Xenopus tropicalis: one gene and its partners. The protein of the gene in region 2 interacts with the protein of the main gene of each other region in a biochemical or structural test. Links are inferred from orthologs where the notes say so. Each region holds a gene or a part of one and is shown on either strand. Other genes may lie near its edges. The genes, in order: plekho1, smurf1, axin1 and ube2m.

Evidence for each region.
Region 1: the proteins of smurf1 (region 2) and plekho1 form a complex in vitro, tested with the Homo sapiens proteins (4 studies listed by BioGRID and IntAct). The link is inferred for Xenopus tropicalis from reciprocal best matches to the Homo sapiens genes SMURF1 and PLEKHO1.
Region 3: of the proteins of smurf1 (region 2) and axin1, one has a biochemical effect on the other in vitro, tested with the Homo sapiens proteins (2 studies listed by BioGRID, with this or other methods). The link is inferred for Xenopus tropicalis from reciprocal best matches to the Homo sapiens genes SMURF1 and AXIN1.
Region 4: the proteins of smurf1 (region 2) and ube2m form a complex in vitro, tested with the Homo sapiens proteins (2 studies listed by BioGRID). The link is inferred for Xenopus tropicalis from reciprocal best matches to the Homo sapiens genes SMURF1 and UBE2M.

Annotation. Positions count from the first base shown.
Region 1 is NC_030684.2:129,081,319-129,089,165, forward strand, and holds the start of plekho1 (pleckstrin homology domain-containing family O member 1), read left to right. Parts: upstream 1-3,435; 5' UTR 3,436-3,457; intron 3,458-7,847. UniProt on the Homo sapiens protein: Plays a role in the regulation of the actin cytoskeleton through its interactions with actin capping protein (CP).
Region 2 is NC_030685.2:47,056,899-47,064,273, reverse strand, and holds part of smurf1 (E3 ubiquitin-protein ligase SMURF1), read left to right. Parts: intron 1-2,008; coding exon 2,009-2,123; intron 2,124-2,991; coding exon 2,992-3,170; intron 3,171-6,008; coding exon 6,009-6,146; intron 6,147-6,465; coding exon 6,466-6,586; intron 6,587-7,375. UniProt on the Homo sapiens protein: E3 ubiquitin-protein ligase that acts as a negative regulator of BMP signaling pathway. Mediates ubiquitination and degradation of SMAD1 and SMAD5, 2 receptor-regulated SMADs specific for the BMP pathway.
Region 3 is NC_030685.2:15,096,243-15,103,617, reverse strand, and holds part of axin1 (axin-1), read left to right. Parts: intron 1-3,906; 5' UTR 3,907-3,997; coding exon 3,998-4,875; intron 4,876-7,375. UniProt on the Homo sapiens protein: Component of the beta-catenin destruction complex required for regulating CTNNB1 levels through phosphorylation and ubiquitination, and modulating Wnt-signaling.
Region 4 is NC_030683.2:103,008,382-103,016,382, forward strand, and holds the start of ube2m (NEDD8-conjugating enzyme Ubc12), read left to right. Parts: upstream 1-2,658; 5' UTR 2,659-2,803; coding exon 2,804-2,912; intron 2,913-6,413; coding exon 6,414-6,508; intron 6,509-8,001.

The DNA of each region.
Region 1 (7,847 bases), on a different chromosome or scaffold from region 2:
CAAAAAAGGTTGCTTTTGCAGTGACATAGGTGGATCCAGGGCTCTGACCACCAATTTCATTGCAATTATTGTTCTTCTGTTGGTTTAGGTGGTTTTATTGGGTTTTACTGATTTTATGGTGTTTTATCTTTGCATTGTTCTTTATTGTGTGTTTAGTGCCCCAAAAAAGGTTGCTTTTGCAGTGACATTAGTGGATCCAGGGCTCTGACCACTGATTTCATTGCAATTATTGTTCTTTGATTGCTTTTAGTGGTTTTATTCCATTTGATTTCAGTTGTTCTAGAAAGGTCCAGAGGTGCTAAGTTCAGATTGTTCTGGTAGTTTCTATTGCCAAAGGTTAACTCCTGGTCATCTCTTGCTGGCTTGAGTTTATCAAAAGGTTACAGTGAGTTTTTTTTTTCTAGCTTCTCCTATTACAAGTGTTCTCCTATTACATTATTACATCATTACAAGTGTTGTCTTGCTTTTTTTTTTTTTTTTTTTTGCTTGCTTGTTTTGACTTTGCCTGCTGATTGCTAGATTTGTAGTTGTCTGTATATTTCTGGCACAATGGCCAAACGGTTTTACAGCACAGAGGAAGCTGCTAGGTATTGCATGGACTCCAGCTCAGAAGAATTTAGCGATTCTGGGTCTGAGTATGTTCCATCTGACCACTCTACTGAGGAATCAGAGATAGACGATAGTGACACGGTTAGCGCAGAGTTTAGTAGTGGTGGCACGCTTACTGCTGAAGAGGCAGAGGCTAGTGGTAGTGCCCAAGATGTACCCATGGATGTAGAAGAGGGTGAGGGTAGCACTGATGCAGCAGTTGGAGAGCCTGCGTGGGGGCCTCCCTGTAATTATGTCCCTGAAATTCCCCCTTTCACTGCAGTCCCTGGCCTCAGTGTGGACACCACTAATTTTGAAATTATAGATTTTTTTAATCTCTATATTACAGAGGCCATCCTACAGGACATGGTCCGTTACACAAATTTGTATGCTGAGCAGTATCTTGCCAGCAACCCTTTACCGGGTTTTTCAAGAGCCCAGGCATGGTATCCCACAAATATAAACGAAATAAAAAGATTCCTGGCTCTTACATTGGCAATGGGACTCGTAGAACGTAATTCTTTAGCTTCCTACTGGGATACCAATACAGTCCTTTCCATCCCTCTTTTTTCAGCCGTTATGGCAAGAAACCGTTATCAAATTTTATTGCGGTTTCTTCACTTTAACGACAACACAACGGCTGTTGCCCCTAATGAGCCCGGTTATGACAGGCTTTATAAATTGAGGCCCCTTATAGATAGCCTGTCTCAGCGCTTCGCAGAGGTTTACACCCCCTCCCAAAATGTCTGTGTAGATGAGTCCCTTTTGCTCTTCAAAGGGCGCCTAAAATTTCGCCAATATATCCCTAGTAAGCGTTCTCGCTATGGGATTAAATTTTACAAACTCTGTGAAAGCAGCACGGGCTACACTAGTTATTTCATGCTGTATGAGGGAAAGGACACTAATTTGGACCCCCCCGGTTGTCCCACTGACTTGACTACCAGTGGTAAAATTGTTTGGGAGCTCATAACTCCACTGCTGGGCCGAGGTTACCACTTATACGTGGATAACTTTTACACAGGCATCCCTTTATTTAGAGCCCTAAATTCTTTGGACACCCCAGCCTGCGGCACAGTCCACCGTAACCGCAAAGGACTGCCCAGGGAATTGCTGGATAAGAAACTGAAGCGTGGAGAAGTACATGCTCTAAGAAGCAATGAGCTCTTGGCCATAAAATATTCAGACACCAAAGTTGTTCTTATGCTTACTACTATCCACGATGAGACCATGATTGTCCAACACAGAAGTGGCGGTAGGCCCTCAAAAACAAAGCCCCTGTGTAGTAAAGAATATAGTAAGCATATGGGTGGTGTTGATAAATCCGACCAAATACAACATTATTATAATGCCACCCGAAAAACCAGGGCCTGGTACAAAAAAGCAGCAATTTATATGATCCAAATGGCCCTTTATAATTCTTATGTCGTTTACAAGGCGGCAGTACCAGGCCCCAGATTGTCTTATTATAATTATTTGCTGCAGTTGCTCCCTGCCTTGTTGTTTGGTGATGTAGAGGAGGTTCCTGACATGCCAGGTAATGACAATGTTGCCCGAATGGTGGGTAAGCATTTTATAGCACAAATTCCACCAACACCTAATAAAAGATATGCCCAGAGAAAATGTAAGGTTTGCCGTTCCAAGGGTGTTAGGCGAGATGTCCGGTATTATTGTCCCAAGTGTCCTAGCAAGCCTGCTTTGTGTTTCCACCCATGTTTTGAAGTGTACCATACTGTGGTACACTATGAGAGGACTTGAATTTTGTGTTTTTATAGGTAGGTTATGGTTCTCTGGGTTTGTTGGTGGAATAAGGATTTAGCATATCAGAATAGTGGACTTGGCATGTTCTAGGTTTTTATGCACAAGGTTGCAGGCCTCCAAACTTAGCTGTGCTGGCAAAGTGACGCTGTTTTTTATTTATTGAGTTTATCTATTCTGGCAGGTCCGTACTTTACTTATAACTAGGTTATAGATATATGTGATGAAAAGTTTGGTAAGGTGTGTCATATTATTGGCAAAAGTTTTTTTTTTTTTTAGTAAAGTAGGGTTTTATGGTATGTGATTTTGTTTTTTGCACAGGTTGTCAGAAAAACAGTGTGTGCTTGTAGCTTGTGGTTGTTTAGACTTGTTCTTGGGCATTCAGATTTTTGTGTTTGAGCTATGGTTATTCAGGCTAGTTGCAGTGTTTCTTTGGTTATGGGGTAGGACTTGTATTGTGCTGTTGGTATAGCGAACTGAGGTGCTGGGTGACTGACAGGGCGCATGATAAAACTTGTGGTGTGTGATGAATCAATGAGATGTTTTTATCTCTAAAGCTGATGCCACAAGTCCTTTTACTGGCACCTCAAAAGCATGCCTGTCAGCGCAGTTATCTGTGCATAGTTTTGTATTATATACTTTGTATTTCTGGGCAGCATTTAACTACTGTAAGTGTAGGCCTTAAGTTTTTTGCAAAGGTTCTTGAGCACAGGATGACAGATACATTACGGTTTTTTGTGCTTGTAGTACAAATTGAATATCTACTGTATGTTCTGGTTAGGTTACACAAGTTGCAGTGGCTCTCTAAATATAAAAACTTTGCGTAATACTGGTGTGCCACTGGTGACTGCTGCACGGCACGTAATGGTGCACATAATTTTATCTCTGATGCTAATGCCCCAAGCTTTATTGTTGGCACCTTTAGTGCAACTTCTAAGGACACTTGCATCATTTATGGGCCAAATTACTATTGATTTTTTTGGCAAATATCCTTCTAAATGTGGTGCAGATTTTGTCATTTCTAAAGTAGTGTAGGAAGAAGCAAAAAACTGGTATCATAACACCACAGGAAAGATGGAACTCAAATCAAAGATGCTCCGCTAAACTGAAATAGGTGAGTAAAGTACAATTTAGGGGTTTATTTGGGGGGGGGGGGTTAAAGTTAAAAAACTGCAAGGGGTGCATAGAGTGCAGCCCCAATATTATGCATTTTCAGGTTTGGCGGCCATGTACTTATGTGCAACCAGACATATGGGGTGTAATTTTATTCAGGGTAACTTGCTAATTGATACTGAGCAAGTTTTTTGATAGTTGCCATTGAGATTTTGGGGAGAAATCTAACTTTATATTTTTTTTCAGACTAAAGTCCAGCTTGTATAGGGAACTGCATCCACAATTTTGCCTGTAGAAAACCAAGAATGGTGTTTCTAAATAGCTGAAGTTGTCTATTTCAATGTATAGTTTATATGGGTTTTTTCACAGGTAAGGGGCAATTTTGTCTGAAAAACTTTGAGATGTGCACATAAATTGCAGCCCCATTATTATGCATTGCCCCTGTTTTGGGGCATTTGGTGGCTGCATCTTTATGTGCACCCATACATATGGCATATCGTTTTATTCAGGGGAACTTGCAGATTGATGTTTAGTAAGTTTTTGGTAGTTGCCATGGAGATTTTGGGGAGAAATCTAGGTTTGTATCTGGTTTTTCCTTGATTTCTGACCAAAGCGCTGACTTCTGCAAGGGACCACGGCCACAATTTTCCATGTAGAAAGAGGAGAGTGGTGTCTCTGAATAGCTGAAGTTGTCTATTTTTAATCAATGTATAGTTTATATGGGTTTTTTCACAGGTAAGGGGCAATTTTGTCTGAAAAACTTTGAGATGTGCACATAAATTGCAGCCCCATTGTAATGCATTGCCCCTGTTTTGGGGCATTTGGTGGCCACGTCTTTATGTGCACCCATACATATGGGGTATCGTTTTATTCAGGGGAACTTGCAGATTGATGTTTAGTAAGTTTTTGGTAGTTGCCATGGAGATTTTGGGGAGAAATCTAGGTTTGTATCTGTTTTTTTCTTGATTTCTGACCAAAGCGCTGACTTCTGCAAGGGACTGCGGCCACAATTTTCCATGTAGAAAGAGGAGAGTGGTGTTTCTGAATAGCTGAAGGTGTGCACTTTTCAGAAATATATAGTTTGTGGGGGTTATTTTACAGGTAGGGGGGTTAACACTGAAAAACTGCAGGAAGTGCACATAGAGTGCAGCCCCCAAAATTTCAACTGAAATTGCCCTTATGCATTGCCCCTGTTTTGGGGCATTTGGTGGCCACGTCTTTATGTGCACCCATACATATGGGGTATCGTTTTATTCAGGGGAACTTGCAGATTGATGTTTAGTAAGTTTTTGGTAGTTGCCATGGAGATTTTGGGGAGAAATCTAGGTTTGTATCTGTTTTTTTCTTGATTTCTGACCAAAGCGCTGACTTCTGCAAGGGACTGCGGCCACAATTTTCCATGTAGAAAGAGGAGAGTGGTGTTTCTGAATAGCTGAAGGTGTGCACTTTTCAGAAATATATAGTTTGTGGGGGTTATTTTACAGGTAGGGGGGGTTAACACTGAAAAACTGCAGGAAGTGCACATAGAGTGCAGCCCCCAAAATTTCAACTGAAATTGCCCTTATGCATTGCCCCTGTTTTGGGGCATTTGGTGGCCACGTCTTTATGTGCACCCATACATATGGGGTATCGTTTTATTCAGGGGAACTTGCAGATTGATGTTTAGTAAGTTTTTGGTAGTTGCCATGGAGATTTTGGGGAGAAATCTAGGTTTGTATCTGTTTTTTTCTTGATTTCTGACCAAAGCGCTGACTTCTGCAAGGGACTGTGGCCACAATTTTCCATGTAGAAAGAGGAGAGTGGTGTTTCTGAATAGCTGAAGGTGTGCACTTTTCAGAAATATATAGTTTGTGGGGGTTATTTTACAGGTAGGGGGGGTTAACACTGAAAAACTGCAGGAAGTGCACATAGAGCGCAGCCCCCAAAATTTCAACTGAAATTGCCCTTATGCATTGCCCCTGTTTTGGGGCATTTGGTGGCCACGTCTTTATGTGCACCCATACATATGGGGTATCGTTTTATTCAGGGGAACTTGCAGATTGATGTTTAGTAAGTTTTTAGTAGTTGCCATGGAGATTTTGGGGAGAAATCTAGGTTTGTATCTGTTTTTTTCTTGATTTCTGACCAAAGTGCTGACTTCTGCAAGGGACTGCGGCCACAATTTTCCATGTAGAAAGAGGAGAGTGGCGTCTCTGAATAGCTGAAGGTGTGCACTTTTCAGAAATATATAGTTTGTGGGGGTTATTTTACAGGTAGGGGGGGTTAACACTGAAAAACTGCAGGAAGTGCACATAGAGCGCAGCCCCCAAAATTTCAACTGAAATTGCCCTTATGCATTGCCCCTGTTTTGGGGCATTTGGTGGCCACGTCTTTATGTGCACCCATACATATGGGGTATCGTTTTATTCAGGGGAACTTGCAGATTGATGTTTAGTAAGTTTTTAGTAGTTGCCATGGAGATTTTGGGGAGAAATCTAGGTTTGTATCTGTTTTTTTCTTGATTTCTGACCAAAGTGCTGACTTCTGCAAGGGACTGCGGCCACAATTTTCCATGTAGAAAGAGGAGAGTGGTGTCTCTGAATAGCTGAAGGTGTGCACTTTTCAGAAATATATAGTTTGTGGGGGTTATTTTACAGGTAGGGGGGGTTAACACTGAAAAACTGCAGGAAGTGCACATAGAGCGCAGCCCCCAAAATTTCAACTGAAATTGCCCTTATGCATTGCCCCTGTTTTGGGGCATTTGGTGGCCACGTCTTTATGTGCACCCATACATATGGGGTATCGTTTTATTCAGGGGAACTTGCAGATTGATGTTTAGTAAGTTTTTAGTAGTTGCCATGGAGATTTTGGGGAGAAATCTAGGTTTGTATCTGTTTTTTTCTTGATTTCTGACCAAAGCGCTGACTTCTGCAAGGGACTGCGGCCACAATTTTCCATGTAGAAAGAGGAGAGTGGTGTTTCTGAATAGCTGAAGGTGTGCACTTTTCAGAAATATATAGTTTGTGGGGGTTATTTTACAGGTAGGGGGGGTTAACACTGAAAAACTGCAGGAAGTGCACATAGAGTGCAGCCCCCAAAATTTCAACTGAAATTGCCCTTATGCATTGCCCCTGTTTTGGGGCATTTGGTGGCCACGTCTTTATGTGCACCCATACATATGGGGTATCGTTTTATTCAGGGGAACTTGCAGATTGATGTTTAGTAAGTTTTTAGTAGTTGCCATGGAGATTTTGGGGAGAAATCTAGGTTTGTATCTGTTTTTTTCTTGATTTCTGACCAAAGCGCTGACTTCTGCAAGGGACTGCGGCCACAATTTTCCATGTAGAAAGAGGAGAGTGGTGTTTCTGAATAGCTGAAGGTGTGCACTTTTCAGAAATATATAGTTTGTGGGGGTTATTTTACAGGTAGGGGGGGTTAACACTGAAAAACTGCAGGAAGTGCACATAGAGTGCAGCCCCCAAAATTTCAACTGAAATTGCCCTTATGCATTGCCCCTGTTTTGGGGCATTTGGTGGCCACGTCTTTATGTGCTCCCATACATATGGGGTATCGTTTTATTCAGGGGAACTTGCAGATTGATGTTTAGTAAGTTTTTAGTAGTTGCCATGGAGATTTTGGGGAGAAATCTAGGTTTGTATCTGTTTTTTTCTTGATTTCTGACCAAAGCGCTGACTTCTGCAAGGGACTGCGGCCACAATTTTCCATGTAGAAAGAGGAGAGTGGTGTCTCTGAATAGCTGAAGGTGTGCACTTTTCAGAAATATATAGTTTGTGGGGGTTATTTTACAGGTAGGGGGGGTTAACACTGAAAAACTGCAGGAAGTGCACATAGAGCGCAGCCCCCAAAATTTCAACTGAAATTGCCCTTATGCATTGCCCCTGTTTTGGGGCATTTGGTGGCCACGTCTTTATGTGCACCCATACATATGGGGTATCGTTTTATTCAGGGGAACTTGCAGATTGATGTTTAGTAAGTTTTTGGTAGTTGCCATGGAGATTTTGGGGAGAAATCTAGGTTTGTATCTGTTTTTTTCTTGATTTCTGACCAAAGTGCTGACTTCTGCAAGGGACTGCGGCCACAATTTTCCATGTAGAAAGAGGAGAGTGGCGTCTGTGAATAGCTGAAGGTGTGCACTTTTCAGACATATATAGTTTGTGGGGGTTATTTCACAAGTAGGGGGGTTAACACTGAAAAACTGCAGGTAGTGCACATGGAGCACAGCACCCACATTTTTAGCTGTAATTGCCCTTGTGCATTGCCCCTGCTTTGGAGTGTTTGATGCCCATGTCTTTATGTGCACCCATACATATGGGGCATCATTTTATTCAGGAGAAGTTTGTCTTTCAAATTTGCCTTTGTTAGAAAATTTTTATGACATTTTTTTTGTCAAA
Region 2 (7,375 bases):
AATACCTTTTACCCTTTTGTAAATATCACAACCAAACATTCCCCCCCATCTGGACAGTTGTCTCATATTCTTAGTATTTTAATGCTGGTCTTTACATAGTAATATAGTAAGTTAGGTTGAAAAAAGACGTACGTCCATCACGTTCAACCATAATGCCTATATATAACCTGCCTAACTGCTAGTTGACCCAGAGGAAGGCAAAAAACCCCATCTGATGCCTCTCTAGCAACAAATATGTAACAATACAAATATAACAAAATATACAAATATATAATTTTTTTTTTTTTTTTTTAACGCATCAGTTAATAGAGCTTCTCCAGCTGAATCCTGCATTGAAATCCATTTTTCAAAAACGCAAACAGATTTTTTTTTTTTTGTATTTAATATTGTAACACTGGCTCCTTCTGAAAGTTCAGACTCAGGTACAATGCACTGAGATGGCGGCCTACACACCAGTTTTACAAATGTAAGAAATACTTTTAAATATATTTTTTAGATAACTCTTGTGGAAAAGTGCACTGGGTTCCACAGTCTTGGTTTCATCTGTACTTTTTAATTACTTGCCCCCATGTAATTAATAAAAGGCACACATTTGCCGAGTTGCAGTAAACCATAGAAACCAATAAAATATTTTAATTTAAACATGTACTCAGGAAATAGTACCTGTCCTTTGGTAGCTAAGGGCATTGGCACATGGGGAGATTTGCGGGCTAAGTTAAACCCCCCACATAAAGATGTAATCAGTGAACAGCCTCTTTGTAATTTTTAAATACCTACCACTCTGGTTGTTGAAAGCTTAATAGTAAGGCTGAAGCATCCACTTATATGTGCTCCTGTAATAGCATCAAACTTTAAAAAAACAAAAAGAAGGAAACCTGAAAGCAGAACTTGGCTGCAATTAAAGGAACAGTAACACATAAATATTTAAATACCGTATAAGTCACAAAACAGCTCTAATATTAGGTCTAGCCTTTCCCCCCTTGCCTTTTTTAAATGCTTCGTGTAGAATTTTAGTGACGAACTGCTCCATAGCAGCACGGCGAAAAGGCGACGGGTGCTTGAATTCCTGTGTACACTGACCCGAAAGTTGTCTTCGTGTCGGAGGACCTTCGGCACTTAAGCTCTTTATCAGCTTATGTATGATTGGATGATTTAGCAATATTGTTGTACATTAACAACTTAAAATGACTGCAAGAAAGATTGTTATACCACTTCACTAACTATGGAATTAAAGTCTAAATTGAATTGAATTCCTTTAGAAAATTTGTTGTTTTTTAGATTATTATAGCAGAAGTGGGGAACATAAAAGGCAAAAGCTGTGCAAGGTACTAGTGGCAAAGAGATCCCTTGTCTTTCACAGTTTAGGGTGAGATCTGTTTGAAAAGAGGACTTAATCCTAAATATATCCTCTCTACATTTTGAATGTTATATTTTTTTAAATACTAATCTTGTAGTATTTATTTACAGGCCATGATCCACCATAGGAAACTGTCCCTATTAATTTCTTGCCTGTATCTGTCATATTCAGTGATGTTTTGCTGACATTAAGGGTCAGCAGACAAGGAGATTAAAATGGTTATGATAAAATGCTGTTATGTGCAAGGGAGTATATTATATGCTCTTGCATAGCAGTTTAGAAGAGCCCTGTAATACTATATCCTTCACTTACCTTATTATATATCCATTAGTTATAAATAGAAAAAAAAATAGCTACTGGCTTCATATGTATCATGAAGTTAACATTCAGGACCAACCTTATTAGAATTAAGTCGATTATCATTATGTAAAGTTATGTTTTATAATTCACAAAACCAGTTAAAAAAAAATTTCAGAACATTTGGCTTTTTGGTGTTTGGCATTTGGTGTTTGTATGCTTTAGTAAAAAGTTTAAATTTCATAAAGTTCATAAAGTTTCATAAAAAAAAGAAAAAGCTATTGCTATGTATTTTGTGTTTTCAGAGAACAGCTCAGATTGTCTGTTCATTCTTGATGTGATTCTTTTAAACAGGGAGTGGCTGTATTTACTATGCCATGAAATGCTGAATCCATATTATGGACTTTTCCAATATTCTACAGACAATATTTATACTCTGCAAATTAATCCTGATTCATCTATTAATCCAGTAAGTGTTAAACCTGACATTGTGGTCAGCTGACAGGTAGTGGCAAATTGGGACACTTTGCTGCGGTGAGCTACAAACAAATTAACTTAGAAATTTACTTTTTTTTTGTGGGAAACTAGCCATAATTGACTTGTTTTTCAAAAACAACAAAATCTTTTATGCAGAAGATGCTGCTACTAATTATTAATGTATAGTATGATGCTCATTGGATCTTTTAGTGGCCACAGCAAAATGGCTGAAAAAAATTATAAGCAGTTTGACAGTAAAAATTTTAACATATTAATTCTATCTGGCGAGTACTAAAGCATTGATGCAATAAAGAAGCTGTGCAAACTACCATATTTTTTTAAGAATAGCTGCAGTTGAATATCTGGTTGAAAATTGGTCAGGTGTCAATTTGACAAGTTTGATTTTTTTTTTTTTTTTTTTTTTTAAATTGGATAAGGGACTGCATCGGCAACTAGGAAATTAGTACTTGCCATCCATAGGTTAACCTACACAATATTAAAATAACTGCAGATCATAATTTTGCAGAACAACATAAGTGTTCAGTTGAGCAGCTAACATCATGGGCCATTTGTATGGACACCTGACAATTGGAGGTGCTCGCTAAAATGTTACGCTTCAAATCTCCGAAGCTCACAAAATGCTTTAGTTGGCAAGCTTTGTTCTTTTGGACAGCAGGGCTCAAGGTAATGGACACAATGTGTGTTTAAGGTAGATTCTTCCCATTTTCTTACCTGCCTTTACCTAGTATTAATTGCCAGAGAGGACTGAGATACATCTAATAATTCTGCTGATTTAGTTTAATCTAAAATCAAAACTCAGATACAAAGTCAATTTACTCTGTTTCCACTCTGCTCTACAGGATCATTTATCTTATTTCCATTTTGTTGGTCGAATCATGGGATTGGCTGTGTTTCATGGACACTACATTAATGGGGGGTTTACAGTTCCTTTCTACAAACAACTTTTGGGAAAGCCCATTCAGCTGTCTGACTTGGAATCTGTGGATCCAGAGCTGCATAAAAGCTTGGTTTGGATTTTGTAAGTATTTTTGTTAAGATATTTTGGTCTCTAAGGATCTTATGTTCCCTTTAAGCCAGAGCTCCCCCAACCTATTTTAGTTGCATTGTAAGCCACATTCAAGTTTAAAAAGTGTTTGAGAGCTACTTAGTCATAAAAAAAATATTGTGCAGGCTGCAAAATAAAGACTGGGTTGGCTTTTTCATAGAACTATATAGACTACCTGCCTGTAGCAGCCCATGTTTACCAGAACATTTTTTTGGCTTCCAAGACTTGGCCAGCATTTGTTAAATGAGCACCTTTGAAGTTACTGCATGCAGCATTTAAAGGGGTGTCAAGAAATGTGGTTTACAGGCCAGTAGCTAGGTATCACTGCTCTAACCTGTGTGCTTATATACAAACACAACAAGTTATGATACTTGCACATACAGAGCTTAGTAGAGGAACAACAGACAACTCTATATGCAGTAATATTCTGGCAGATATCCTACGGCCAATAGTACATTACATGATTTTGGGAGTTTTATCCGGGTGCTCTTACAGTAGGTAAAGTTAGACCTTTTCTAAAGTTACACATTGGCAGTAAAATTGGTAAATTTAAATAACATTTTTTTTTTTTTATTATTTTGGCAGTGATTTTGCTGTTTAGGGTCAAAGGACATGTACGTGTTGTCACTTATGTGAAATTTCCTCTCCTGCTGGCCAACAAAAAATCCAAAATTTACCTTTTCATTCAGAGGTTTATTCCCCCCATGTAAAACACTTTACATGCAGTGATCCGGCCTTATTGTGGGAAAATCCATATTTTGACCTTTAACGTAGAACAGTTGCACTCGCTAAACAAGCATAATGATCTTCCCTACCCTGCTCTGTGTGTGAGATAGGTAAGTGAGGTGGGAGGAGGCAGCATCAGCCTTGGTAGCAGAACACTAGAAAGCACTATACTTTGTGCAAAATCCCACCAACACTGGTGTCTTTCCTGTATGTGTCCCAGTGTGACATTACTTAGCAATTTATTTAGTAGATCAGGGTTTTGTTTTTTTTTGCATAGTAGGGGCAACTGACTGGTTTGAAATTCTGCAGATGGATGCCAGGTTCTTACAGAGACTTCAGATTGCCTAAACACACTGCGTAAGCTTAAATGTGATTTGTGTAATTGGTCTGCATCTCAGTTGTTGTTGTTGTAAAATGTCAATATATACACGGTAACACCATAACTTTTTTTTGAATTTTATAGCTGTAGTGGAAGGTATGCTATGTGCGATGTAAATATAATCGTGCCCTGTGGTACCGAGGGCCAGAATTTCTCTGGCAAACATGGTGGAGGGCCAAAAACGGAAGTCAGTTTTAGCCACTGCCCTTTTTATACTACATCCATATTAACACAAACATTTTGAAGACAAATGGTTGGTGTTTACTGCAGGGATATCGCCTAACACTCATATGTGAAAAAAAGTTAATTAAGTCATATTAAGACATACCCTTAAATTCATATGCTGCCTCCTCCCCTGTGGACAGCACAGCAACCCCAGCACCTAATTAAACACCTTAGGGACCCCTAACCACTATTTCCAAAAGCTAATAAACTCCTTAAACAAACCCCTGCCAGGTTCACCTCCCACAGGTGGCATAGGGTAGGCGCAGTATGGCACACAGGCAGCATAGGGCAGGCAGAGTATGGCACACACAGGCAGCATAACTGTATATCTGAGGTGGGAACAATCAATGCCCCATTGATTGTTCCCACCTTAGATATACAGTTATGCTGCCTGTGTGTGCCATACTCTGCCTGCCCTATGCTGCCTGTGTGTGCCATACTCTGCCTGACCTATGCTGCCTTGTGGGGCTTGTGATTGTAAATAATGGATGAGGCTTACAGGTGTGGACAATGCAATGGCTTACAGGTGTGAACATTACAGGGGCTTACAGCCTGAATCTGAGGTGTGAACAATGTAGAGGGGGGGTAGATAATCTCAGTACTGATGCAATTTACAGTCACAGCTGCCAGACAAATGGGGGGGCCACAAAAAGGGGGTCCGCCAGTTTTACAGCATTTCTCTATAGTATAGAAATCCCCCCCTCCTCGGCCACTCTCCTGCCTGAGAGCAGGTGATGCGATTTACCTGCATTAAAGAATAAATAAACATTAAAAAAAAAAAAAAGAATCTCTAAAAATAACCCCCAGAATTTCATACCTTCCCTCTCTGTTTTGGACTTGAAGAATCCAGCACAAAAGCACAAATCTGCAGAAAGGATAATCTGCCTCCTATTTATAGTGATGAGCGAATCTGTCCCATTTTGCTTCCCCCAAAAATTTGCGAAATATTTGCAAAATGGCGCAAAATTTATGGAATGCAATAAATGATGCACACATCAAAAAATTATTGCAAATCTATGCCTGGCGAAAAATGTCACTCATCACTACCTATTTCAGCATGAAGCTTCAACCCCTATAGTCTACTTCGCTCTGCTTTTATTTCTGCCTGGTTTAATTGGTCAGGGATGTTTTTACATAAGCACAAATCTGCAGCAATAATAATCCACTTTCTGTTCAGCATGAAGCCCAGTGGCCCCATATCCATATTGATGTCCCCTTAGATAAGGGGATCTGAGAAGTATCATTGCATAGATTTACAATGTGTGTAAAGCACAAAGAATATCCAGTCAAACCAGGTGACATCTAAATTATTTTTAGCAATAGCACCATTAATCTTCTAAACCTTTGTTATACAACCTTGTTTTATCATTGTTACTGTTATGAAGAACACACATTTGGGGAAACAGCGTATGCCTTAATTAAGCTAAAAAAAATGTAATGTACAATTACTGTTTCGATTTCCTTCTATATTACTGCTTTAGAGAGAATGACATTACTTCAGTATTAGACCACACGTTCTGTGTTGAGCACAATGCATTTGGCCGACTCCTCCAGCATGAATTGAAACCAAATGGCAAGAACTTACAAGTAACAGAAGAAAATAAGAAAGAGTATGTGAGGTATGTTACTAACATTATAAAATATATCATATGTATGTTTTGTGCATATTTATTGTACCAATGTCGATTGGGTGGACAACATATCTGGCAAACCCAGGTATGGCCAACTAGCATTAGTTTATTGCCTAGGGTGTATACATGTACTTTATGTCTGTTGTGTTCGTCCACATCAGCAGGTTTTTTTAAAATCTTGCATCTATGAGTCATGTAGTGTAAGCTGCAGTCCTAAAAGCTCTATTAATTACTAAAAAGGGAAGAAAATCTTGAAAACAAGTCAAATTTATATGTATTTATTTGTGTTAATTTCATTTTCTTACAGGTTGTATGTTAATTGGAGGTTCATGAGAGGGATAGAGGCTCAGTTCTTGGCTCTGCAGAAAGGTTTTAATGAGCTAATACCACAACATTTGTTGAAGCCATTTGAGCAAAAAGAACTAGAGGTAATATAAAGTCTGCTTATTTATGGTCTTATTTATGGCGCTGCCTTTTGATTGAGTTTTTATTCCAATATTGTTGTGGTATGTACACAGTCCTACCTTCAGACATTTGTCACATTAGGTGCATTTTGGAGAATAAGTGCTGGAATTCACAATGGTTGAGGCATTGACACAATGATTGAGGCATTGACCCATAACTTCCATGACTGAATAAAAAACTGTGTTCCACAGCACAGGTGGTTGAATTTGAGTTTACTTTCAAAGAGGTTTTGAGTTTTTCATGGAAGTATTTGGAATTGGGATATGGAATTCTAGAAGTAATGAGCAGCAAGAGAGAGGTGCCTGTGAATGTGGGTGGTGTAAAAATAATGTAGCTTTGAGCGGGAAGAGAGAAGACCAGGAACATATGGAGAAATGCCGATTGGCAATTTGGTGTGGTTAAGTGCTTTGAAAGTTATAAAAGGGATCTCGCAAGTTATGCTTGCATTCTGACAGATCCATATTATAGATTTAAACAAAGGCAGAGAAGATTTTCTATCAGTGAAAGTTGGGAGGATTCAAACAATACAGTTTTAAGAATGGGAGTAGAGGTGGGGGTCTGGGAGGCCAGACAGTAGTAGGTGCAGTAGTGTATAATGGGGTATTGCCAGCATTAGGAAATATTTGGCAGTGGTGTTTATTACTTTACAGGAAGAAAGTGAAGAGTTGAAAGTTATACCCAGACATGATGAATTAACAGCGTTTATGAGCATGTCATCATTAGTAATCATAAACGTTAGTAGGTTCAGGTGT
Region 3 (7,375 bases), about 32 Mb from region 2:
ATTTACTGATAATTGTCTCTACGTGTGTTTTAACAGAGGCAATTCTCAGTATTGTCAGGGTATTTTCTGGTGTTTTGCAGCCATGACAAGAAGCTGCTACTAAGTAGCTCCATGTGTCTTCACCCTTAGGGTGAAGACACAGAACTACTAGTAGCTGCCACTGCCATAGACAGTGGTTTTGAAGTTATGTGTAAATGTAATTGGTATGGAAAAACGCTGCCTGGATGTTTGTATTCTCTGCACTGCTGGCTCTGACTTCTGCATAGCGGGGTGATGGGAGTTGTTTCACTAGCAAATGCACTGTGGCTACAAACGCTGGAGAATCAGCAGCAGTGCAGTATTAGGGTGAAGACACACGGAGCTACTAGTAGCAGCTACTTGTCATGGCTACAAAAATAAACAATGCTGATCATTTACTGATAATTGTCTCTGCGTGTGTTTTAGCAGAGGCAATTCTTAGTATTGTCAGGGTGTTTTCTGGTGTTTTGCAGCCATGACAAGAAGCTGCTACTAAGTAGCTCCATGTGTCTTCACCCTTAGGTAGCTGCCACTGCCATAGACAATACTGAGAATTGTCTTCTAAAACACACATAGAGACAATTATCAGTAAATTATCAGCATTGTCTATTTTAGTTGCTGCTACTAGTAGCTCTGAGTGTCTTGACCATTAAATCGATCATGGTGGGAATTGTATTCTGTGGGTTGTCCGGCAGTTTCACCATGGGTGGGAATTGTAGTTCAGCAAGGTGTTTATTGACCATTGCTCACTGTGTTCCATCACCTACCTTGGGCTTCTCACCCTTAAGGAAACAGGGGGGCTGCTGTGGCAATACCCGCAGGGCCACAGGTTGCTCATTGCTGCTGTAGGGACTAAGCCAGTTTATGTGTGGGTTGGGGGTATGATTGGCTTTATAGTTTTCGTTACAACTGCAGTTTTATGTAAGAAATGCTAAGGTACCGTGGGAGTGTGGGGTATTGTCAGTTCATGCATTAGCACTTTCCATGGTGCCCAATATATATTGGGGGCAGAAGTTCTCCGCATTCTGTGCATGTCAGAATCTGAATGCCGTAGCCAGACGCCTTGGGGGTGTGGGGGACCCTGTTTCTTGTGTTCCTACCTGCCTACCTGATCCATCGGCACCCAGTGCTTGGTATATTACTGATATATACTGATCATTTGCAAATAATCCTGCAAGGCTGTGTGCCCACTCCTGACTTATTATATCTGCTTTTGGTCTGACCAAAGAAATCTATCCTCATTGTTGGGGGGGAAATGTCTATTTATAAAAAAAAAAAAAGTGAATATATGTGTAATGTGATGTGTGTAAAAAAGAAAATATATATGTATAGTATATATCAAATTGGAATTAGAACTCTCAGGACCAGCAACTTCTTTGTTATATAATATTTGTATTTTTGACACATTATACAGAAGTCTTATAGTTATCAAGGAGAGATAGATATTTAAAATATATTTTCGTTGTAACTGACATGTAACTGTAAGCAGTATATACATTCATAAATGTCATTGGTTTTGAAGTTATGTGTAAATGTAATTGGTATGGAAAAACGCTGCCTGGGTGTTTGTATTCTCTGCACTGCTGGCTCTGACTTCTGAATCAGTATAGCAGAAACTATCGAGAGCAGAACTAACTTGTTTCAGGAGTCGGAACCAGAGAAAAGGAATGCAGACACATGTAGCTGGCTAGAAAGAGGATTTTTACACTGTGTGTGTGGCGAGTTAGTCTATTATAGCCCCCACTGGAAACAGTAAAAGGGATTGCCGGGCAGAAGGTGATGTCGCCTAGTGGTGCTGAGGAGTAGAACGTGAGCAGTTGCATGTCTTGGGATGGGTAATATAGTATTTTAGTGTCCCTGGTTATTGCTTTATGCTGTTTATCTCTGCGGCACGGTTCAAAGTACCAATAGCTTTAATGGCCCTGGCAATAGCAGGTTCATTCATTCAGATACAGCCTATCTGGGTATGCCTCGAGCAGGGGGGGAATCCCAGGGAGCCTCTAAGTCTGATACACAAGAACATTTGGCGTCACACTCACGAACACACCTTGCGAGCAACCCTTGTCCTCTGCAGTATCCAGCTGTATTGTGCCTTGCTGGCTATGGGTAATTGTGGCTGGGCAGTTAGTGATGGCCGCTGCAATATCCAGCTGTATTGTGCCTTGCTGGCTATGGGTAATAGTGGCTGGGCAGTTAGTGATGGCCGCTGCAATATCCAGCTGTATTGTGCCTTGCTGGCTATGGGTAATTGTGGCTGGGCAGTCAATGATGGCCTCTGCAATATCCAGCTGTATTGTGCCTTGCTGGCTATGGGTAATTGTGGCTGGGCAGTCAATGATGGCCGCTGCAATATCCAGCTGTATTGTGCCTTGCTGGCTATGGGTAATTGTATCTGGGCAGTCAATGATGGCTGCTGCAATATCCAGCTGTATTGTGCCTTGCTGGCTATGGGTAATTGTGGCTGGGCAGTCAATGATGGCCGCTGCAATATCCAGCTGTATTGTGCCTTGCTGGCTATGGGTAATTGTATCTGGGCAGTCAATGATGGCTGCTGCAATATCCAGCTGTATTGTGCCTTGCTGGCTATGGGTAATTGTGGCTGGGCAGTTAACGATGCCCGCTATGCTTGCTATTATGTGCTATTGCTACAGCTGCTTTCTAGCTGGCACGCTTCCTCTGGTCTTCAAGCTCACTACACGTTCAGTCCCAACTGGGTGTGTGACTATATTATGAACAGTGGCTGCAAGTTGTTTTTGCATTCAAAAATTAGTGTCACTGCTGCAGTTGCCCAACGAGGACTGGCATTGTCACAGGTTTTCACTAAAGCTTCTATTGTGTTACTCAACTGCAATAAACCCAACTGCCGGTCTGTGATAGTCGTGTAAGATAAGTCCATTTCTGTTTGGCAATTGTCGCTTTCATTGCTGGCCCCAGACTATTTGCAGCTTAACCTTGGCAGCAGTGGCATCCCAGAGGATCACTTGCCAGCCACACACTTCAAATACGCACTTCCATAATTCATTCATGTTGGGCTCTTGACTAGGTAAATGGAAATGGCATTCTGTTTATCGCTTTTTGCTTTCTGGTTCTGACTCTTGAAACAATGTAACATATGTCGGTTATCCTCAGGGTCTTGTTAGTGAGCTGGCTTCTGCTGCATTTTTAGGAGACAGAACCAGCAGTGCAAAGACTCAGAACTGCCCCACAGATTCTGTTATTAACAAAAGTTACACTAAGGGTGAAGACACACGGGCTACTAGTATTTGCTACTTTTTCACAGCTACTAAACAACATAAAATACCCTGCCAATAGACAACTGAGAATTGCCTCTTCTAAGGGCAGTGGCAAATGGGGAGATTAGTTGCGCCGTGACAGATCTTCGTTACTGCGGGCGACTAATCTCCCCGCAATACCATCCCACTGGCAAGAACGTAAATTGCCAATGGGATGGCATACGTGATGATTCATTTTCCCGAAGTTGCCTCTCAAGAAAACTTTGGGCGACTTCAGGAAAACTAAGTGACGTGTATGCCATCCCACCGCCGATTTACATTCATGCCGGTAGGTTGGCATTGCGAGGAGATTAAGACACATGTAGAGACAGTTATCAGTAAATGATCAGCATTGTCTATTTTAGTAGCAGGGACAAGTAGCTGCTACTAGTAGCTCTGTGTGTCTTCACCCTGCAGATAACTCTAAAGCCACTAAATATGTGTCATGAATGTAATAGGAAAGTTGCTTAGAATTATATTTGTTTTTATTAGGTGTAAATACTGTTTTGGGTGGAGTTCCCCTTTAATGAAATGCAACAGTATAATGAGTAAGCGGAACTTAATTATCTTTTTCCTACTGACTTCTAAATGTTTCTTTGTTTTTTTTTCTTGGCAGGAGGCATACTTTTACCTGGGACCTTCTATTTACGATGTCCATATTCTGAATCAGTGTTTTATTCATCACTGTGTATACAAACGCCATCAAAATGAGTGTCAAAGGGAAAGGTTTCCCTTTGGACCTAGGGGGAAGCTTTACTGAAGATGCACCTAGGCCACCAGTTCCTGGCGAGGAAGGAGAACTGATTACAACAGATCAAAGACCCTTCAGCCACAGTTACTACTCTCTGAAAAACGATGGGATCAAAAACGAAACCTCAACAGCCACCCCTAGGAGACCAGACCTAGACTTGGGCTATGAGCCTGAAGGTAGTGCTTCCCCGACACCTCCGTACCTAAAATGGGCTGAGTCGTTGCACTCTCTTTTGGACGATCAGGATGGGATTAACTTGTTCAGGACTTTTTTGCAACAAGAGAACTGTGCGGACCTGCTGGACTTCTGGTTTGCATGCAGCGGCTTTCGGAAGCTGGAACCCAACGACTCAAAAGTGGAGAAGAGACTAAAACTGGCAAAAGCCATTTACAAAAAATACATTCTGGACAGCAACGGCATCGTGTCACGGCAGATCAAACCAGCGACCAAAAGCTTCATAAAAGATTGCGTTTTGAGGCAACAGATAGACCCAGCTATGTTTGACCAGGCCCAAACGGAAATCCAGTCCATGATGGAGGACAATACATATCCTGTGTTCCTTAAATCAGATACATATTTAGAATATACAACTATTGGTGGGGAAAGTCCTAAAAATTACAGTGATCAGAGCTCGGCATCTGGGACGGGGAAAGGGCCTTCTGGATATTTACCTACTCTAAATGAAGATGAGGAATGGAGGTGTGACCAAGGAGGGGAACTCGAAAGGGAGAGGGATTCTGTTCCCTCCAGCTTATTTACCCAGAAGCTTGTTTTAGACAGTTCGTCCCATTGTGTGGGGCCTAATAGAAGATTAAGTGACGGCAGAGAATTCAGGTATGTTTGTAAACTGTATGGAGGCACCAAGGTGTAGTTGCACAATGCACAATCCTGGCCACATAAGGGCCATTCATGGGATTGTGGAAATTGTTGCTTTCTGCATGTTCCTAGTCACATGATAACTGTGTTTGTGTTTGAAAGATATTTTATTCTAGCTACCAGCAGCATAGCAGCAATTTTTCTAAATATGAATGTGTGCAAATAATAAGCAATATAGCCTTAGTTGTAAAAAATAAGTATAGAAGGAGTCCTGTGCCCATATAAAGGCTTGAAGGTTTACTTTTTATGCTGATCATGGCTGTGCAGCCTGTTACGGTGACAGGTGGATTTCTTTCCAGAAACATTTGGGAGTTTTTGGGCCAAAATCAGAGAAAGGTGAATGATAAAGTGGAGAAGTGCCTGAACTTTATGTGCCATGAAATTTTCTTTCTGCATTTTGCAATTGGAGAGCTTTAGATGCTGTGTTTCTTAGGTTTTTTGGCACATTGACGTAAAGGCACAGAGCTCACCTTAGAATTAAGGTTTAGTGTGATGTTTATATTTATGCTTTTATATTCTTTGTGGTTAATGATTTATTTCAACTGCAGTTATGTACCAGGTCCAGTTTGGCTTCCGCTTTTATCTAGATGTGTGGGTCCTAATTAAAGGAGACATGTAGGATAAGCTAAAAAAGATTATTTTATAGGCAATTATGAATAATATATGGTACTGGTTTCACTTTGGTCAAAAAATTATTACTGTCTGTAAAAATGGCCCCTTTATTGGAGCGATAGATCCTCTCAGGTCTCTGTCTGTGTTTCAAATGAGGGGTGGGTGTGGCCTAACTGTCCCTGCCAGAAGCACAGTAGGAGGGAAAGTGCCTGTATGACTGCAGGGCTATGACTGGCTAAAGGTGGCCATACACGTTAAGATACCTTCGCTTGGCGAGGTCGAATTTAGGCTAATTCGGTTGTTTGGCCCTGGGACCAAATGATCGAATTAGAGCGCCGCAATAGGCGCATTCGTTTCGGGGTCCGAATCAACAAGCCGATGCGGTCCCAGATCCAACTACATTTTTAAACCTTCCCAATAGATATCTGGCCGATTTCAGGCCAGACGTCGGTCGGGCAGGCCTGTCATTTATGCCCATACACGGGCCGATAAGCTGCCGAGTCTGTCTAAGGGACCGATATCAGCAGCTACAGTCGGCCCGTGTATGGGGACCTTAAGACAGGCTTCAGTTCCCTATCAGGTCAGCCTATTGGGTCCCCCCTGCACAGCCTGGGAAAGGAGGCAGAAGGAAGAGGGACAGATGGGTGGGACTAATGGGGTTTTTGGAGAAAATTTCAATTAATCAGCCGGAAACACTACTTTTTAAAGCACATTCCTTCTGTATTAAGATGAGTACAATTCATTGGCACAATGTTGTTTTTCACACACTATGTTCCCTTTAAGGTGGCCATACACAGGCAGATTTAAGCCCTTCAGACCAATTGGGCAGCTCATCTGCCCAGGTATGGTGTCCCACCTTAGGTCGGCATATCTGGGGGATGATTTGCCTGTTTGGCGAGGTCATGAAACAAGTGGATCTTAACGTTAAGCTGAAAATTGGAACAAGAAGCAATAAAAAAAAAAAAAAAAAAATTCAATAACAATATAAATGTACCTGTGGGATTATTCTTGTTGCCGGGGTCAGTGGACCGGACAACCAGGCAGCATTTTAAATAGAAGTAGAATTTAAATATTGTTTGAGTGGCAACACTGATGAAGCCAATACAAGGATTACTCATTGGTTTATCATTGCCTATGTTACTAAGCAGCCTTATTACATAAAGTAAAATAAAACACCATATTTTCTCTGCGCTATATGCTAATGTTACAAATCCTAATAGGGTTGTGTTTGTGTGAGACACCGCAGCTTAATATGGGGTGGGGTGCACTTTAAAGAGGGACCTGTTACCCTAAAAAATCTAAATTAAGGCAAACTTTGTATCACCCCAAAATCTTGTGCTTTTACCATCCAGGTGATATCTGGAAAGTTAAAGTAATTGTAATTAAAAATCTGAGCTATCAATCATATATTGCCTACGGCATAGAGGCGGGGCAGGCAATATATGATTGACAGCTCAGATTTTTAAATACATTTAAAACAAAAAAAAATTTGGGTTTCATGTTTAATTTTTAAAGGTCTTTTACTATACAGGTTTGGGATCCCTTATCCAGAAAGCTCCGAATTATGGAAAGCTTGTCTCCCATAGACTCCATATTAATCAAACAATTCAGAATTTTAAAACTGATTTCCTTTTTCTCTGTAGAAATAAAACAGTACCTGTAATTGATCCCAACTAAGATATAATTACCCCTTATTGGGGGCAAAACAGCCCTATTGGGTTTATTTCATGGTTAAATGATTCCCTTTTCTCTGTAATAATAAAACAGTACCTGTACTTGATCCCAACTAAGATATAATTACCCCTTATTGGGGGCAGAACAGCCCTATTGGGTTTATTTAATGGTT
Region 4 (8,001 bases), on a different chromosome or scaffold from region 2:
GTGTGTAATTATGTTGCTGGGGGTTGCTGTGCTATCCACAGGGGAGGCGGCGGCATATGGATTTAAGGGTGTGTCTTAATATGACATAATATAATTCTTTAACATACGAATGATGGTTGATATCCCTGCAGCGACCATTGTGATAAAGTGGGTGTGGTTTAAAATTAGGGAGTGGCCAAAACTGGCTTCCATTAGCGGCCCTTCACCATGTACGCGAGAGAAATTCCAGCCCTCAGCACCGCAGAAGTTGGACAGCATTGGCCTAAAGGAATAATGGTCTGAGACTATTGGGACTTAAAGGGGTTGTTTGCTTTGATGTAGGGCTTGATATTTTAAGACCATTCATCCTTATTTTTATTTTTTTCTTTGTTTAATTATTTAGCTTTTTGTTCAGCAGCTCTCCAGTTTAGAATTTCAGCATATATCTGGTTGCTGGGGTTCAGAGTCCTCTAGCAACCAGACAGTGGTTTGAATGAGAAACTGGGCTATAAATAGGAGACAGGCTGAATAGAAAAGATAAGTCATAAAAAGCCTTACAGAGCAATAGGTTTTGGCTGCTGGAGTCAGTGACCCCCTTTTGAAACCTGAAGAAAAAGGCAAATAATTCAGAAACTATAGAAAAAAAAAAAATTAAGACCAATTGACATTGCTATTCTACAGCATACTAAAAAGTTAACTTAAATCTGAACTTCGGTCCAACTGAATTTCTGAGGGATGAACTGAAACAGTATCTACAAGTCATCCTTGAGCACCCAACCTGACTTAAAGCAACTAATGGTAAGAGTATTGGGCAGATTTGCTGTCTTTCTTCCTGTATTTAGCTCATGTGTATCTTATCCTAGTGATAGTAGGCCCATAAGGAGGCATTACCTCAAATACAGCAACTTATGTTGTATAGGTATTTGCTATATGGATTTTAATGAGGACACTAATGGGATGGGCTGATATGAATATGTATGGACTTATTGTTACATCATGCATTATATTATACGTAACACATTGTGTTACAAAATAGTTTCCCTTTGTCATAGTTACAGCATATGAACATGAAATAAAACATGTAGGGTACAGGGCTCAGGTGCAGAATGGGCAGCTGGTTGGCTGGCACAGAACTTTGAGGCAGTGGCATAAATAGATGTTACTGGGCACCACCGCAATTTAGGCAATAGAAGTTCTATTCTACCAAGATATATTGAAATTGCTCAATAATTAGGGCTGTACTGGGCCTCTACATTCCTAAGCTCCCCCCACCAAAAGTGTTGGTGAGCCACACTAACATAAAAAAGTTCTTTGGGGATGCCAAATAAGGGCTGTGATTGGCTATTTGGTAGCCCCATGTGGACTGCTAGCCTGCAGGAAGCTCTGCATGGAGTAAAACTCTGTGATTCCAAAACTTGCCTTCAAGACAGAAATGCAAAAATGGCTACCTACTTTGAGGCCTCTGGGAGTTACATCAAAGGGTGTGGTGAGGGACATGTTGCTTATGAGCCACTGGTTGGGGAACACTGATCTAGGGTCACACTTCCCAGGAAGGCAAATATTTTGTGCCATGTTGGTTCTGTTTTATTCCATGAAGAGCAAATGACTCACGCTGTTCTGCATGGGCATTAAGGTCAGCAGCTAATCGGCCCGTGTATGGGCACTACCGACGGGCCTGGCCGACCGATATCTGACCTGAAATCGGACAGATATCGTGCAGGTTAAAAAATCTAGTCAGATCGGGGACTGCATCGGCTCGTTGATGCGGTCCCTGGACCAACTTTGTCTATACCCGTCATTGTAATTCGATCATTTCGCCCCAGGGTCCCCCGTAGGTGGGGATATCGGGAGAAGATCCGCTCGCTTGGCATCATCGCCAAGGGAGCAGATCTGAAGGCGTACGGGGACCTTAAAGCTACCACCTTCTTCTAATCTTAGGGTTTCTATTGAGGCAGGGCTAGAATAGGGAACATTGAAGCTGAAAGGGCTGGGGAACCAAAAGCTAGAGGCATTTCCTGTAATGGCCTCGGTCAGAATAAGCTATATTGCTAAAGACATGTATCTGGGGGCCTGACAAATGGAAGCAATGTAGTGTAGCATGGGCTAGCGGGCCCAACATTGTATTGTTTCCCAATACTTAGCAACTAAACTAAAACCTGTGTATGTGTGAGGAAATATGCAGATATAAGATATATCTTATAAGATTTTGACGGCGGCCGTATAAAGGTCTCCACAGAATACTCGATAGAACGTTTAGGTATTGTTTCCAAAGTGGAAGCTCTAAGCGTTCTCAATCAACTGCTCCCCGAACGTTTCCAAGTCCCCTCACAATTTCGGTGCCACGATTGCTTCCGGAACCTCCCGATGTCCCAAGCCCGAGTGTTGGCGGAACTAGCCGAGTACTTCCGAAAGCTCCGGATTCCCCAGCGCAAGCGCTTCCGAAGCTGCGCAGTAGCTGCATCTTCTGCCTAGAAGCAGAGCGGCCGCAGAGCTGAGTGTTTCCGATACCTGCCGGGCAGCTCACGGAAGAGGCAGCACTGATAAAGGCGAGAAGCCTTAGCTGGTAGCGGCCGTGAGAACCGGCACCAAGGAGCTGCTCACCCGGATCTAAGCTCCCGACTAGTAGCTCTGTCCGTCAGGTGTGCGGGCCCCGAGAGACGATTAGACCCCAGTGCTGCGGCCTGTCTCCCCCCGGCCTGTGTGTGGCGAGAGAGAGAAAAGGGACGGAGGGGAGGGAGGCTGGGAGCTTCCCCCAGTGCGGGACATAGGGAGAGCAGGAGGGGGTTGAGGGAGGTGCGGGCCCGCAGGGGGGACATCCAGCAAGATGATCAAACTCTTCTCCCTCAAGCAGCAGAAGAAGGAGGAGGAATCTGCAGGGGGAACTAAAGGCAGCAGTAAAAAGGCCTCAGCCGCTCAACTTCGCATTCAGAAAGGTAACCTGGAGCCTTGTATCACCCCGCCGCTAGGGGGAGCCCTGGGGTATCCTGCCCCTGCTCAAGGGGCGCTCTGTTCTTTGCTTTCTCAGTATAAAGCCCGTGTTGGCCACTTATTTATGTCTTTATTTTCTCTCTCTCTCTGTCCAGCAGGGCAGAACTCTGGTACAATGCCTGCACTATTCTGCTTTCAGCCCCACAATTTTGTCATTCCATTTATATCAAAGGGGAACACGTACATACTAACTGCTAGTTTGGTTCAAATTCAGTTTAATTATTGGTGTAATTGCAACAGATTTTTCTCTGCTTTTCTCTTTGCAACAAACTCGCTAAAGTCAGCCACGGAATCAATGGTCCCTCTCTTTACTTCTTGGCTTTGAGCGCAAAAAAATTTTTTTTTGTGTGCACACTTACAATTTGTGCGCACATTTTTATGAACTGTGTGCTGAGGTCATAATAAATACAAAATGCTCAATTTGTTGGCCTCGACATTTGTGTGAGCACACAGTTTAGAGGGAACATTGCGCAGAATCCAGGGCTAGAACGCAACCTTGTGTGGCTTTCCTCATCAATGGAACTTTTCCTGGTTTGCTCTGGGGCAAGGCCATGTACTTGTTTATAAGGCGTGAAACAAGAGGGTTGGGGCTACACCTCATGGTGAATCAAAGTAAAACTACTAAATATGGGATTGATCAATGCAAATGATGTAAATCTAATCATATTTCTCCTAGGCTGGCACCTCCCTGCTGGCTTGTTTCCTAGGAATAGTGCCTCCTGCCCAAAGCAATGGTCTCGCAGACTGATCCTGCCCCCTCTATGGGCTATTAAAGAGGAGAGATCTTCAACAGCCATTTTTAAGGCATAAGGCCACCATTAAAGGGAATGGTGTATATGTGTTACAGCCACATGGAAGTCTGGCTTTCCTTCTTGCTAAATAATCCAGCTAATACAAATAATGGGGGTTTAGAGGACAATTGACTGGCATCTCATGACATGCTACCAATTAGGGAGGTGCAAACCTATGAAAAACAGAGGTAAATAGATAGCGCCACCACATGGGGCTTATATAGATATAGGGGGGGGTGGCTTTGTAAGGATCATAACCTTACTGTCATAACCTATGGGACCTGTGTATGTGCATTGATCAATCCCTTTTCTTTCTTTTTTCCACAGAAGGGGGAATGATACCAACGCAGACATGCAAGGTCTTTTTCCTCTTGACCCCATACAGGTTTAGGGCTATGGCATTTTGATTCGTGCTATAAGTAGTGGCAAGCCGAACAGTAAGGGCTGTGACACACGGGGAGATTAGTTGCCGAACGACTAATCTCCCCAAAATGCCATCCTGCCGGCTAGAATGTAAATCTCCTGTGGGATGGCATACACAGCACCGAAATTTGCAGAAGTCGCGGAAGTTGCCTTGAGAGGAAACTTCCACGACTTCGGCAAATCACGGTGCACGTATGCCATCCCACCGGCAATTTACATTCTAGCCGGTGGGATGGCATTTCGGGGAGATTAGTTGCCCCTGACAAGGGAGATTTGTTGCGCGGCGACTAATCACAGACCTAGGGCTTAAGGGTTATTGAGTCCTAATGCTAGCAGGAGGTAGGGCTCCGAGTAACTATGGCTGTGCCAGTCACCCTTTGTTTGGGCTTCACCCATGGGTCAGCTCTTTTGTTTGTCACAGTGTGCAGTGATTCACCTTAATCATTGGCATTTTCAGCCTCAGTATTTGTGGTGATCAGAAGTGGGGTGCTCTGATCCATAGTTGATCCATGGGCAGTCTGCCTTTCAGAGGTGATAACCTCCATGCCATGCATTGCTGTGTGCTCAGTAGGGAGGCATCCCATAAACTAACAAGACCAGTTGTTCCCCACTCTGGTGAAGGAGTTGGTTCTGAGGATCCTTGTGTCTATGTCAGTATAGGGGAACTATTATCCAAACAAAAATGTGACTTTTTGTGGCCTCTGCCCATGGGGAAAGGCAAACGTGTATGTATTGATTTACATGTGTAACAGGGCATGCATATGTTTGCATTAGCCCAAACCTGACACTGCCCGAACCCCTTGTACCTCAAGATGAAACCTCTGAAATCTATCATTTACATTGTTTGGTCGGCACAGCATATTGGCAAGCTGCAGCTTTGTGCCACCCCTAAGATCTTATCCAGCTGTTAGTAAATAAGCACTTCTTATAGCCAGCCACTTCATGCACCTACAGTATGTGAGTTACCTTGCAATGGGCCCCATGCATTCCATAATTCCCAACCCTTCCCTCATAACACACTGCCCTAATTTACAAGATTTATTTTTTTTCTTCTGGAACTTAGGGCTTTGACTTTTTTTTACTTTTCTCCACCCAAAAAAACTGTTTATTGCATAATAAAAGAAACTATAACTCTAAGCAGCTTTCCAATGTACATTCATAACACAGTCTCGCTGGTTGCTTAGTTAATGCCATAGAAACTAGCGATTGTTTCTCCCTATTTGTCCTCTGCTTCTGACTCTTGAAAGAATGTAGCAGAAGTCAGTTCTCTACCAGCTCTGTTAGTCAGCTGGCTTCATCACCATTGATTCAGGAGTCAGAATCAGCAGTGCAGAGAATGTTAACAGCCAAAAAGATACTGCTTTCAGCAATTACATTCACATACGCAATTAAAATGACTGAGAGTGTGTAATGAATTTATAATGGAAAGTTGCTTAGAATTCAATTTCTTTCATTAATTAAAAAAACTCTTTGGGTGAAGGATCCCTTTAAGTTCAGCTTTGTGTTGCTGCTAGTTTTTTTCATTTAAATTGTACCATTTTTTCTTATTATACGTGTTTAGCTATTAGGCGTACAGGGTATATAGGGGCAGAGGAAGGTTCCAGTACATACTGTCAGTAGAGAATTGCAGTAATGCTGAGGCCTAAGAGCACCCTCGGTATAGTGCAGCTCTGAGCCCTGCCTTCATGGTTACATTATAAAGAGGCGTGGGATTTACATATTTGTGGAATGAGAAAATACTGCCCTTACTGCTAGCTTAGACTTTCCTTGTTTTGTAACAATTGGTTAAAGGGAGGACAAAGAAAGGAGAGAGCATCTGAACCCAACATTTTTATATTTTAATTTTTTTTTTTCAAAATTCCTGCTATAAGCTGCTTTATGAAGCTCTCTGTACAGAGCCATATGCAGTTAATATAACAGACACAAACCACTACTCGCCTCCACACAGTGCTGAAGGTGCCCAGCGTACATGCGTAAATGTTGAACAGCTCTTGCTTGTGGCCAAAGATTGACTTGTTTGGGACCAATTGATTGCTCAGAGACAGTCTCTGGAAAGTGCTGCCCAATCAATCAGTGCTATATAAAAAAGGGTAATTCATAAATGGGGACAAAACTGATGAGATCATTCCTTGCCCTTTGATCAAATCTGTTTCTATTTTAGAACCTGCATTGTATGTAGCAAAGCCAAATGTGACGTAGTTACTAATGTCCGTTTCTGTGCCTGTGTTCCAGATATTAACGAACTGAATTTGCCGAAGACATGTGAAATAGAGTTCTCAGACCACGATGATCTCTTAAATTTCAAATTAGTCATCTGCCCTGATGAGGTTAGTATATGTGCCATTGTTTTGCTCTTGCAACGGTTTGAGTAAGTTGTAGCTTTTACCACTAAAGCTGGGGCTGGATTAGAGGTTTTAGACTACAGGTTACAGGGGCTAGATGTTCAGGCTGCATTTATCTATATGCCAGAAATCTGCCCCATGTGGCCATTACACATTTTGGTGCCAAAATCCGCTCCATGATGTATGACCTTTACCCAGGCTGACAGTGGTTCTGGGGCAGGTACATGGAAAGGCTGTTAGGATTATAGGGACTGCAGGCTGAGAATCAGTCCATGTGGCCATAGCCATAAGTTTCTGTATAAGCACCGCATGAAAGAGCTTTGCTACATTCTCTAGCATCAGCAGCACCTATGGGCTTACTAATCATTTAGGGAAACACTGGGCCTTGAGTTTTGGGAGCACCACTGTACTTTGCAGAGCAACCAGTTAATACAGTACTCACAGTGATGGCACCAATGACAAAATGGAGGTTACTGTGGCAAACAGGGCCATATATTCCCAACTTTAGAGAAACCATTGTAAATAAGTCTTTAGATGGGATACCCTCTTATCTGAAGAGCAACTAAGGCAACTATGTTGGGTCCAAGGCATTTAATGTCTTCTGTATAACATAATAAATATGCAGTATCTCCGTTGTATTCAATAGTGCCACATACACCATATAATATGCACACCATATAATATACAGGAGGCATATACTGAGACTGTGGGCACCCACTGTTGTTGGGCCCCAGTCAGCCCTTCCCTTCTGCCTCCACACCATTTGGCTCCTTTAATAATTCTTTAGGGGACTTTGATAAACTGGCGTATTTAGCAGATTGATATTTCAGGGGTCAGGTATGTATATTGCATTTTATAGTGCTTTCAGGGGAATACTAAATGTCAACAAATGTATATTATGTGTATATATATGTATTCTGCAACTAATGGGTAGAACAACACTGAAATAGAAGGCTTTTGTCCCCTTTGTTCTGGGATTAGGTGTGCCATTTGTTCCAGATGTGCAATGGTCACATCCTGTATAACATATGCTAAATCTTTCTTATATTTGCCATAGTTAATACATTTATAAAACCAGTTATACTGATAGTTGTTTTGTGAATTATTTTTGAAGGGCAGTTAGTGTATGAATATGTATTCTCAAACTGTTTACAACAGCCATATGGGCTAAAATACTTGCTTTGCTTCCATTTTCCTTCTCTACAATGCCTTGGGATAAGCCTGCCGCTTCCTGGGGTAACTAAGGGGGACCAGGCAGATAAAGGGTACATAGTATATACATGTGAAGAATTTTCCTATACATAGCCCAAGGTTCGTCATGGGGTAGAAGTGACAGAGTTGAGTGGAGCAGAGTTTTTGGTATTTATGTACAGTTTGCATGTATGTCAGATCTGCTTAATGAATTGCATTTTAGTAGTGCTTTAATTTGTTCTTTTTCTGTTAAAAAGTCATATATAGAAATATTAGTTACTAACCTG